2 linked regions of the Drosophila melanogaster genome follow. Changing the gene in region 2 together with the main gene of any one other region gives a genetic interaction. Each region holds a gene or a part of one and is shown on either strand. Other genes may lie near its edges.

Region 1 (7,129 bases), on a different chromosome or scaffold from region 2:
ACAAACTACTCATTAATATTAAAGAATAATAACTAACTAAACTAATTTTGTTGACCCAGGTAAGTTCCCATATTTCGGACCTTATCAGCGGCCTCGACCATACGCACTTTACACGCACTTCTGCCCCATTCACTCGGAAATCTTTAGTTCGCTTTGCCAATCAAAATCTAGTCTATTTTTCTTTTACTCGCTTTGATACTATTCTAGTTTAGTGATTGCCGACAAAGTCATTAACGATAAGGCCCGGATCTTATTAAAATCTGTTGAGCTTAAGTGGATCTTTCAATATCAAGCCTCTGCTTATCACGCAAACAACCAAAAAAAATTTCTGACTAATCGCCGAAACATAGGAATCGTATGAAGATTTTCTAAAACCGGTCAGCTCAGCCCGAAATTTAAGAATTTCTTATCAATAGGGTCAGTTTTAAGCGCTTTGCTTGCATATTATTTAATGCCTTCTGCGAATTTTGTTTTGGTGAAAAACTTTCTATGAAGTCGAACATTCGATGACAAAACCATTATAATTTTACGTAACATTATGCAGAGCAAGGATATTTGTGTGCCTTTCTGCTTTTGTTTGGTTTCACTTTCTTAAAATCCACGGTAGTTCAAATTTACCACCCGGTGAGCTCTGAGCGTCCTTGGCCTACCTACAAAACCAAAAATACCGATTTTCAACATAAATTTAACATAGCATGTCCTTGCCATAAAAATCTACATAAAACCATTTAAAAGTCAATCCGCAAAAGTCACAGAAAACGTCTATACAAGCAAGAAAATTTCAACGATGCAGCTCTCTTACAATTTTTTATTATATTTCCTTTCTACCTGAATCCGTTTTTTACTAGTTCCTTTTTACGATTTCTTTTTTAGACGTGTGCCAATAATTAGTTGTCCATTAAACTGAACTTCCACGTCTTTGAGACTTTGCTCAACAGGCTACAAGGAAGACAAAAAACTCACTCAGTATAGCTGGTAAAAAACCGTCGACCTTCTTTCTTACTTTCTGCACTCCTTAAGCCGATGTTTTGTTTACTTCCTGTTTACTCGTACAGCGCACGCTTGAAATTCAACCCCGTCCGTGACATCTCTTTTCATGAATTTTGGCTCTTTTGCTCTCGCTGTTTCATTTTCGCCCTGTTCTCCATTGGCGTTCATCCCCCTTAGACACATTAGTTATTTTCTATAGCTCAAATGTAAAAAGGGGAAATGACAAAGGCACATCTGAGTGAGTTTTTGTTGTGCGTCCCTTACTAACTCTAAAAACTTCTACGTGATCTTTATGTGGTGTAATATTCCTGCAAGTGCAGTTTTTATGAAGGCTCTAAAAAACACAAGCGGAAGTGGTCATAAGCATTAAAAAATGTCCTTTAACGGTCAACACATAGTTCTGATTTTTTATGTTTTATTACTGACTAGAAACGTAAAGGTCATAAAACCCTCTACTCAGCGAAGATAATTCGCATCGACAACCTATGTTAAAAAACCACATCGTCCATATTTGACTCTAACTGACTATATATCTTTTGCATTGAAAGGAACCTCTAGCTGTCTCATTCGCACCAATTTGCATATGAAAAATTAGCACTTTTAGGTATAAAAAGGAATCGATGAAATCAACTCACTCAACTCAGCGAAGTACCCAGTTTTTACTTTACCTGCTCAGGCTTGGGGATCGTTTTTCGCTTTCGCCGTGATGATTTCCCTTCCTGTCTGCACCCTTATTTGCGTGCGTGTGAGCGGGAGAGCCAATTGAGTCCCGGCGTGTGTGCGTACGAGGGTGAGTGAGAATCTTTCGCCGAGACAGAGCGTACTTATAGTTAGCTCACGCAGCGAATTTGTATCAGTCGTGATTTGGCTCTGTCAGCGAAAGGAACAACCATTTGTTGTGCCACACACAACCGCGAGTAATATAATCGAATCAAATTTCAACTACCTCATTTTGCTAAATCGGTAAACTTTTATAAAAGACAATTTTTGTGAAATCTCTCTACCTCAAAGTACAAAAGTGTGTACAAAAATTATTCATATCCCTGAAAGTGCACAAATTGCTCAAATGAAATTTTGTTGTCTAAAAAACTGAAGCTCCAAAACCACGAAGGCGAATATTATAGGTGTTTTCTGTGTGCGGGAAAACATTGCGCGAGCACAAAATTAGGAGCACAAGAAGAATTTGTTGATGTCCATATCAATGCTTCAAGACGCACAAACGCGAAGTAAGTATTAGACCAAATTAAAATATTCCCCAAGTTTGTAAACTATCTAGAAGTTCTAGAGTCCCCGATCACTTTCTCATTATTAAACAGTCCGATGTCTTTAGGATAGAAAATACAAATGTAATGTAATTGCACACATACCGATTAGTTAGAATTTGTTTACATGTTTGGACAGGAACCGGCACTTAACTCGTTATCGACCAAAACAAAAACTAGTTAGACGAAAATAGAGAGCTGCGAAAACACTAAGAGTTCTCTCCGTACGAAACTTTCTCTCACACATGTATCATATGTAAAATTTTTTTCTCTTTTAAGCCGTTGCTCTTAAGACATTTCCAAATGAAAACATACTAACTTATGATTTTTTTTTTAGCCTTAGCTGCTGCATTAGCTGGCATAAAACAAGAGGACGTTCATCTAGACCGTTCCATGTCGCTATCGCCCCCCATGTCGGCCAACACATCAGCTACAAGCGCCGCTGCGATTTATCCAGCTATGGGTCTCCAACAGGCGGCCGCTGCCTCAGCTTTTGGAATGCTCTCACCTACCCAACTTCTGGCTGCAAACCGTCAAGCTGCCGCATTCATGGCCCAACTGCCCATGAGCACATTGGCCAACACTCTCTTTCCACACAATCCGGCGGCTTTGTTTGGGGCTTGGGCTGCCCAACAGTCGCTCCCGCCCCAGGGTACGCATTTACATTCGCCGCCAGCCAGCCCGCACTCGCCGCTGTCCACTCCTTTAGGTAGTGGCAAGCACCCATTAAATTCCCCCAACAGCACTCCCCAGCACCATGAGCCAGCGAAGAAGGCTCGAAAGTTATCGGTTAAGAAGGAGTTTCAGACCGAGATCAGCATGAGTGTAAACGATATGTACCATACATCGGGAGGCCCAATATCTCCGCCTTCCAGTGGCAGCTCTCCTAATTCAACGCACGACGGAGCGGGTGGAAATGCTGGATGTGTCGGTGTCTCCAAGGATCCATCTCGCGACAAAAGCTTCACCTGTAAAATCTGCTCACGCAGCTTTGGCTATAAGCACGTGCTTCAGAACCACGAACGCACCCACACCGGTGAGAAGCCTTTCGAATGTCCGGAGTGCCACAAGCGGTTTACTCGTGACCATCACTTAAAAACCCACATGCGTTTGCATACTGGAGAAAAACCATATCATTGCTCGCACTGCGATCGTCAATTCGTTCAGGTGGCCAATCTTAGACGACATTTGCGAGTCCACACTGGAGAGCGTCCCTATACTTGTGAAATCTGCGATGGCAAATTCAGTGACTCCAATCAGCTTAAGTCCCACATGCTGGTACACAACGGTGAAAAGCCGTTCGAGTGCGAACGGTGTCACATGAAGTTCCGACGGCGCCACCATCTGATGAATCACAAGTGTGGCATCCAGTCGCCGCCTACTCCCGCGCTTTCACCGGCCATGAGTGGAGATTACCCCGTGGCAATCTCCGCAATTGCTATCGAGGCATCCACGAATAGATTTGCGGCAATGTGTGCCACCTACGGAGGTTCGAATGAGTCGGTCGACATGGAAAAAGCGACACCGGAGGACGATGGTCCATTGGATTTGTCTGAAGATGGAGCCAGCTCTGTGGATGGCCATTGCAGCAACATCGCACGGCGCAAGGCACAGGACATTCGTCGGGTTTTCCGGCTGCCTCCACCGCAAATCCCTCACGTACCCAGTGATATGCCTGAGCAAACCGAGCCAGAGGATTTGAGCATGCACTCTCCTCGCTCTATCGGATCTCACGAGCAAACCGATGATATTGACTTGTATGATTTAGATGATGCCCCGGCTTCTTATATGGGCCATCAACAACATTAGGCCAGTACCACACCGAATTGTACATAGCCCTAATCAGTTTTCATTTGATGAAATTGACTGGCATTTATTAACACAAAATTGAAAATTTTGCTATTTCAAAGTGGAAAGTAAAAATTGTTGCAACAGGAATATAATGATAAGTACAAGTTTAAAAAAAAATAACATACAAAAAAGTCGAAATTGTACAAAGTAAGCCATACCGTATGCTTGTTACCGCCAAACCCCACCAAATCAAATCGAAAATGTCGTGCCATTCTTTACCTTAAATTTAAGTTATATTCTTAGGTTCGGAATCTTAAATTGTACATATTCAGCTTACACAGCTGCCAATTGTAAAGTAATCGGCGCTCTAAACATGCATTGTTGCAGAAAAATAAAAGACACGAAGTTTAATTAGGAAATCTATAACTAATTTTATTTAATTTATTAGCTTAATTTTTTATAATTTAATCAAATTCTTTAAGAAAACAATGCCAATAATCTTCAAATCAAAACTAACTTTAAGTTAAATAATAAAAAACATTTGTTTGATAATTGTTCTGTTTGCATTCTCTATTTAAAACTATTATTAAATATAAAAATTTAGTTAATCCTGTTTTTTTAAAGATCATTCTTAAATGTACACTTTTATATTTATACTTCAATAAATATTTGGTTTAATTGTTGCTGCTTCAAATATAAACAATAAAGAAAAAAGAAAATCAATGGTAACGTTAATATTTAACTGATTCCGCTTTTATTTCATATTGCCATAACTTAAACACAGTTTACGCATCCATTTTTGAAAATCTTTTTTTTTTTGTTGCAAACTATAAGAAACGTTAATATATATTCCAAAATAATAACCTAATGTAGATCAATGCGTATCGAAAGTATAGTAATCCCACTTATCTTAACACTCGTAACTATTAGTTTTAATTGTAAGACTTGAACCAAATACACAGGAAGAAATTGCTATAACCAAATACCTCCAATACCTCTGTATCGAAATTGTTGTGAGCTAAACAGTATATACATTCAACAATTTGGCAATCGTACAATTCAACTGAATTTATATACAAGACTTAGGAATATAAACTACGAAGCATAAACAATTTATATGTATTAAAATTTTGATGCATATTTAAATGGACCTAAAATAAGAAATTAATTTTAAATACTAGGCCAATTCAAATTACATATAAAAGTATATAAGGTTGTATATAACAATAACAATTTGAAATAAATTTAGTGCAATTTTTCGTTCTATTCATTGGTAAGCTTACTGCTTTTATTTTAAAACGTTGTAGTCATAATAATGTAACAAATTAATATGTAATTTTCTTTGTTCATTCAAATGTATGGTATACAAGTTCCTCAAGATTAAAAGAATACAAGAGCTATAAACTAAAATAGAGAGTGCATTTCTAATCATTTGAAAGTCAGCGCACGAAAGACATCATATTAATTGTGTACAGCAACATTCGACGTTTAACCCAATAGATATAATTAAATTTATAAAATCACAAGTCAATTTTTATGTAAATAAATTATAATCCTAATTGTGGCTAGGGATGTGCAATGTATCAAAAAATAAGAGTTATATGTGTTAATTAGGGGGTTGCTAATTTTAACCCTTTAAAGACATACACACATACACCTTGTAAAATACGTCAGTAAATATAAACTAGAAAATGTATTTTATGGTACATGATTGCATTAGATATGTCAGTCTAGCATATAGTAAACGAAACTGTTACTTTTTGTCATAACTATTTCTTCTCTAATTTAATGTTCTACCTATATCAATAATAAATACATATGTATACATCGGCAAATATGTATTTATTACATAAAAATCGAAATATATTATGTTAAATTTAAAAATTGCTGTCTGGGAAACCAAAAATAAATGAATATAAATATATATATGTATATATATGTATATACATATGAGATAATTGTGTAAAGCAAAAAATATTCGTAGCAACCCCGCTTTAGAAAATTACCCACAGCTTTCTTCGATTTTTCGTAAAAGAGAAAACGGGCAGCATTACATAAATTTTTAATTTATGCAAACGAAGCCCTTTCGCATTATTTTACATTTGCCACAAGACGCCCCACTAATGCCGTCGCCACGTTCCTCCCCACGTCACCCCCTTTATTCATCCATCCCTTCACTGGAATTTAAATTTACGTCTGCAGGCAACGGCAGCAGCTGAGCAAAAACGAATATAAAAATCGCGCCGCGCAGTCAGAAAATGTCACAGTGTTTTTTCCATTTAATCTCCAGAGAGAGAGAGCAAACATCTACAATGCTATGAAAGAAAGTCGACGCCACCCACTCATACCAATCGCCTCCCGTTCAGCCATGCCGCGGAACTGACGCCTTCTCTTCTTTGTGCCCCTTTCAACAGCCAAAAAAGGCTTCATCCTGGCAGCCCCCTCTATATAAAATTGTATGTACAAGTATTACATAAAGAACGTCTTATGTACTTACACACGTACATATATAAAACGGAGTAAAAGAGTGAGACGCAGGACAAATGCTCACGTTTTGTGATGCTTATTAGCATTTTAGGCTTTTTTCGCTTAGACTTCTGTAAACATACTCTATGAGCGTATACGTAAATAAAAACAATTCAATAATTAAAAAGTTAAACGTAATGTTAGCCAAATAAACCTTATGCTAAAACTGTTTACCCTAATTTTACCAATAAAAGCTTATTATAAATAAGTTAAAAGAAGAAACGGGAATAAACTGGTAATTGCCAGTTTTATAGTGTAGATAGGTACGTATATCTTATTCGAACCCCCAATCCTCACCCTCAAAAGCTTTTTTTTTAGCTGCCGAGTAAATAGTTTGGTGTTGGACATAGAAAACTTTCAAATGAGTTTACGATTTTTTTAAATATTTCGTGTTCCGCAAAGGAATGAAAAATAAAAGGCCTTGAAAATGAATTTAAGGCCTTCGCTGGCAAAGAACCGCCGACGCACCCAACTTACTGTCGTTATTATTTAAACTGAAAAATTATAATTTTTACCAGCAGACTTCTGCTCACAAATTCTAAGACTGGCGCTTATCCAAG
Region 2 (4,061 bases):
CACGGAGTAAATAAGTGGGTGCACCTACAATCACATACTGTTTGAGCAATATCAACACGGTAATCTTGTGCGCCGTGGGCGTCTCGATGCGGGGAGGCTCTAGTTTGAAGGAGGGGTCCAAGGTGTCCAGCTCCTCGAACAGATTCATGGTTAATTTAGGGCCTCTAAATCCAATTTTCGATTTGCCGGCAAAATGTAAACACAAAATCATCAGCCGCAGCCAACTTAGCTTCGCTGGAGATGCCAAACGGTACGGAGTTCAGCAGTGTGGCAGCTCCAGATGGCGCGTTGTTTCAAAATGTTTGTTCAATAAAAATGCATTATTGGTTTACTAAAGCTATAAAAAAGGTGTTTCATTCTGAAATAAAAGTGTTAAAAATAAATGACCCAAGGTGGCCACTTATTTTTAGCAAGGTAAGCACCTGGCACACCTTTGAAAGCCCCAAATAAACTATTACTGATTACACGCGCTTCGTCGAACTTCCCATACGATCGATCAAAGTCCAAAAAGCGACGAAAACACGCCAAATGTACGCTTCTCCAATTTGTATTTGCTTTAAATCAACGAAAGCACAAAGTTCACTAGACAACTACCCTGTTAAACGCTAGCCAAATGTGTAAATGTATAATGTGGAATAGGTAATACAGCGAATGCGTCATGGGGATACCCACATCCAACCTACAGGACGAAGGGGAAGATGGAGCGGCGCTGGCGAGGGTAGTCCTTAAACTCCTTCTTGTAGTTGCGATGCTTGGCCAAGGCCCAAATGGTCATCTGGAAGGCTCCGGCAAAGGCGAACAGATAGGCAGCCAGGCAAGAAGTCAGCACAGAGAATGAAACCCAGGCACCGATCTCATAGGTGTAGTTGGGGCAAGAAACCAAGCTGCAGTTCGAAGAGCGCGAATTAATAAACTTGAGCTGTGGGTTTTTTTAGTGACCACTTACTCGAACAGCTTGGTGAGGGGATTTCCATCGGCCACCGGAATCTTGCGCACTTTTGTTCCCGGCGGACGCAGGTTGCGCAGGGCAATGTGCACCGAAAAGTTTCCTAGTTCGCAGAGCTGAAAGTGAAAAGTGTGCGGCTTAGTTTGTGGGTCTGCAAATATGATTAATGGATCCCAAATATATAGCACATATAACATTACAAATTGCTTGACCAATTTTAACAAAAAGCTACACCTTTGGTATTAAGAAACAAATGTTTCGAACAAAAGCAAAGGAAACCGGTAGATTACGAAAACATATAACCCAGATCCATAAACCATGGCCGCGGATACATACAGCGAATGCCCCAAGAGCTCCCCAAACGGTGCACATGCAGGGCGAGGTGAACTGCGGATGGTTCACGTGGTAGGACACATAGGCGGTGAATCCCCAGTAGTATGTGCAGTTCTTGAAGAGATTCCTCAGCGGCATGGTGGCGTGCGAGAAGCGGTGCACGAAAATCGTCTCCAGCAGACGCTTCACATAGTGGACCGTATAGCAGCCGGCGGCAATGCTGGGGCAAAAGAGAAAAGAAAGCGGGTTACTGGGTGAACCACCATCCAAAGTTCGGGGATAATTATGCAGAGCCGTTGCGTTTTAGTTTGCATAAGCGACGAGGTCGATTAGGTCGACAATCGAAAGACTTCAGAGACTACTTTCTACAAACTCACTGGGTGGTTAGGGAAATCGGCAGACTGGCAGCTTTGCCGTACACCAACTCCGGTCGGAAGTAGAAAATCAAGTATACAATCAGTGGGCCGGCGTACTCGGCCAGGAAAACGGTCTTCCAGCCAATCTGGGGACCCAGATCCTTCACATAGATCTTGTCGCCGGAACGCAGCGACAGGGATTCCAATGTGTCCGTATCCTTTAGGCTTTTGCCCTTCAGTTCCAGACGAAGCGACTGGCGATTCGCGTGTGGGGTCTGCTTCAGGGTCTTGTGAATTAGGGCGCGCAGATCGCCGATGGGCGTGGCGCCGGAGGGCACCTTCACCTTGCCGTACGGCTTGCTGTTCTTCGCGTTCAAAATCTCCAGCTCCATTTTGCTTTCGGTGCGCTTGCAATCAGTACTGTCCAAAATCGAAAATCGCCGAACCGTAGTGTGACCGTGCGGGGCTCTGCGAAAATAAACTTTTTTAGGTATATGGCCACACACGGGGAAAGCACAGTGGATTATATGTATTAATATATTATCCAGGTTTTCATTACTTATCCAGATGTAAGCCCACTTAAAGCGATTTAACAATTATTTGCCGAAAGAGTATAAACAAATTTTACTTAAAAATGGATTAAGAAAAGCTTGTGTAAGATTATGCGCAGCGTTGCCAGATAGCTCCATTTAAAACACTTCAAAAACAATAAGTTTTGAAAATATATACATAAATAGCAGTCGTTGCCGCAACGCTCAACACATCACACTTTTAAAACACCCTTTACCTACACAGAATTACTTTTTAAATTTCCAGTCAAGCTGCGAGTTTCAAAATTATAGCCGGTAGAGAAGACAGTGCTATTTCAAAAGCAAACTAACAAGGGTCTTAAATTCCAAAACACCAATCCTAACAAGCCTTGGACTTTTGTAAGTTTAGATCAAAGGTGGCATTGCATTCAATGTCATGGTAAGAAGTAGGTCGTCTAGGTAGAAATCCTCATTCAGCCGGTCAAGTCAGTACGAGAAAGGTCTCAATTTGAAATTGTCTTAAAAATATTTTATTGTTTTGTACTGTGGTGAGTTTAAACGAAAAACACAAAAAAAAAGTGATACATAGAAATCATAAAAAATTTTAATACAAGGTATTCGTACGTATCAAAAACATTTCGGCACAATTTTTTTTCTCTGTACTAAAGTGTTACGAACACTACGGTATTTTTTAGTGATTTTCAACGGACACCGAAGGTATATAAACAGCGTTCGCGAACGGTCGCCTTCAAAACCAATTGACATTTGCAGCAGCAAGTACAAGCAGAAAGTAAAGCGCAATCAGCGAAAAATTTATACTTAATTGTTGGTGATTAAAGTACAATTAAAAGAACATTCTCGAAAGTCACAAGAAACGTAAGTTTTTAACTCGCTGTTACCAATTAGTAATAAGAGCAACAAGACGTTGAGTAATTTCAAGAAAAACTGCATTTCAAGGTCTTTGTTCGGCCATTTTTTTTTATTCAACGCTCTACGTAATTACAAAATAAGAAATTGGCAGCCACGCATCTCGTTTTCCCAATGAATTGGCATCAAAACGCAAACAAATCTATAAATAAAACTTACGTGTTGATTTTCGCCAAGATTTATTGGCAAATTGTGAAATTCGCAGTGACGTATTTGAAAATTCGAGAAATCACATACGCACTCGAGCATTTGTGTGCATGTTATTAGTTAGTTGTTTAGTTAATTGAAGTATTTTACCAACGAAATCCACTTATTTTTAGCTGAAATAGAGTAGGTTGCTTAAACAAAGCCACGTCTGAAAATTTCTTATTGCTTGTAGTTGTGACGTCACCATATACACACAAAATAATGTGTATGCATGCATTTCAGCTGTGTATACATACATGCACACACTCGCAACACGAAAACGATGACGAAGCAACGGAACAAAGGTTTCTCAACTACCCTTTGTTCCCTGTTTCTTCGCTTTCCTTTGTTCCAATATTCGTAGAGGGTTAATAGGGGTTTCTCAACAAAGTTGGCGTCGATAAATAAGTTTCCCATTTTTATTCCCCAGCCAGAAAGTTAGTTTCAATAGTTTTGTAATTTCAACGAAACTCGTCTGATTTCGTACTAATTTTCCACATCTCTATTTTCTTCCCGCAGAATAATCCAAAATGCAGATCTTTGTGAAGACTTTGACCGGAAAGACCATCACCCTCGAGGTAGAGCCCTCGGACACCATTGAGAATGTTAAGGCTAAGATCCAAGACAAGGAAGGAATTCCCCCAGATCAGCAGCGTCTGATCTTCGCCGGCAAGCAACTGGAAGACGGACGCACCCTGTCCGATTACAACATTCAGAAGGAGTCCACCCTTCACTTGGTCCTTCGTCTCCGTGGTGGTATGCAGATCTTCGTGAAGACTTTGA

The links. A genetic interaction does not mean that the proteins touch.
Region 1: of Sc2 (region 2) and Kr, changing one suppresses a phenotype caused by changing the other (phenotypic suppression), as found in Drosophila melanogaster (2 studies listed by BioGRID).

Annotation. Positions count from the first base shown.
Region 1 is NT_033778.4:25,224,773-25,231,901, forward strand, and holds Kr (kruppel), read left to right. Parts: upstream 1-1,838; 5' UTR 1,839-2,179; coding exon 2,180-2,216; intron 2,217-2,589; coding exon 2,590-4,061; 3' UTR 4,062-6,622; downstream 6,623-7,129. UniProt on the Drosophila melanogaster protein: Krueppel is a gap class segmentation protein. It is involved in the segmentation of the embryo and in the differentiation of the Malpighian tubules.
Region 2 is NT_037436.4:3,901,507-3,905,567, reverse strand, and holds Sc2 (Sc2), read right to left. Parts: upstream 2,077-4,061; 5' UTR 2,028-2,076; coding exon 1,657-2,027; intron 1,500-1,656; coding exon 1,283-1,499; intron 1,063-1,282; coding exon 947-1,062; intron 885-946; coding exon 680-884; 3' UTR 533-679; downstream 1-532. Other genes in the region: ida (imaginal discs arrested), read right to left, coding at 29-211; Ubi-p63E (Ubiquitin-63E), read left to right, coding at 3,809-4,061.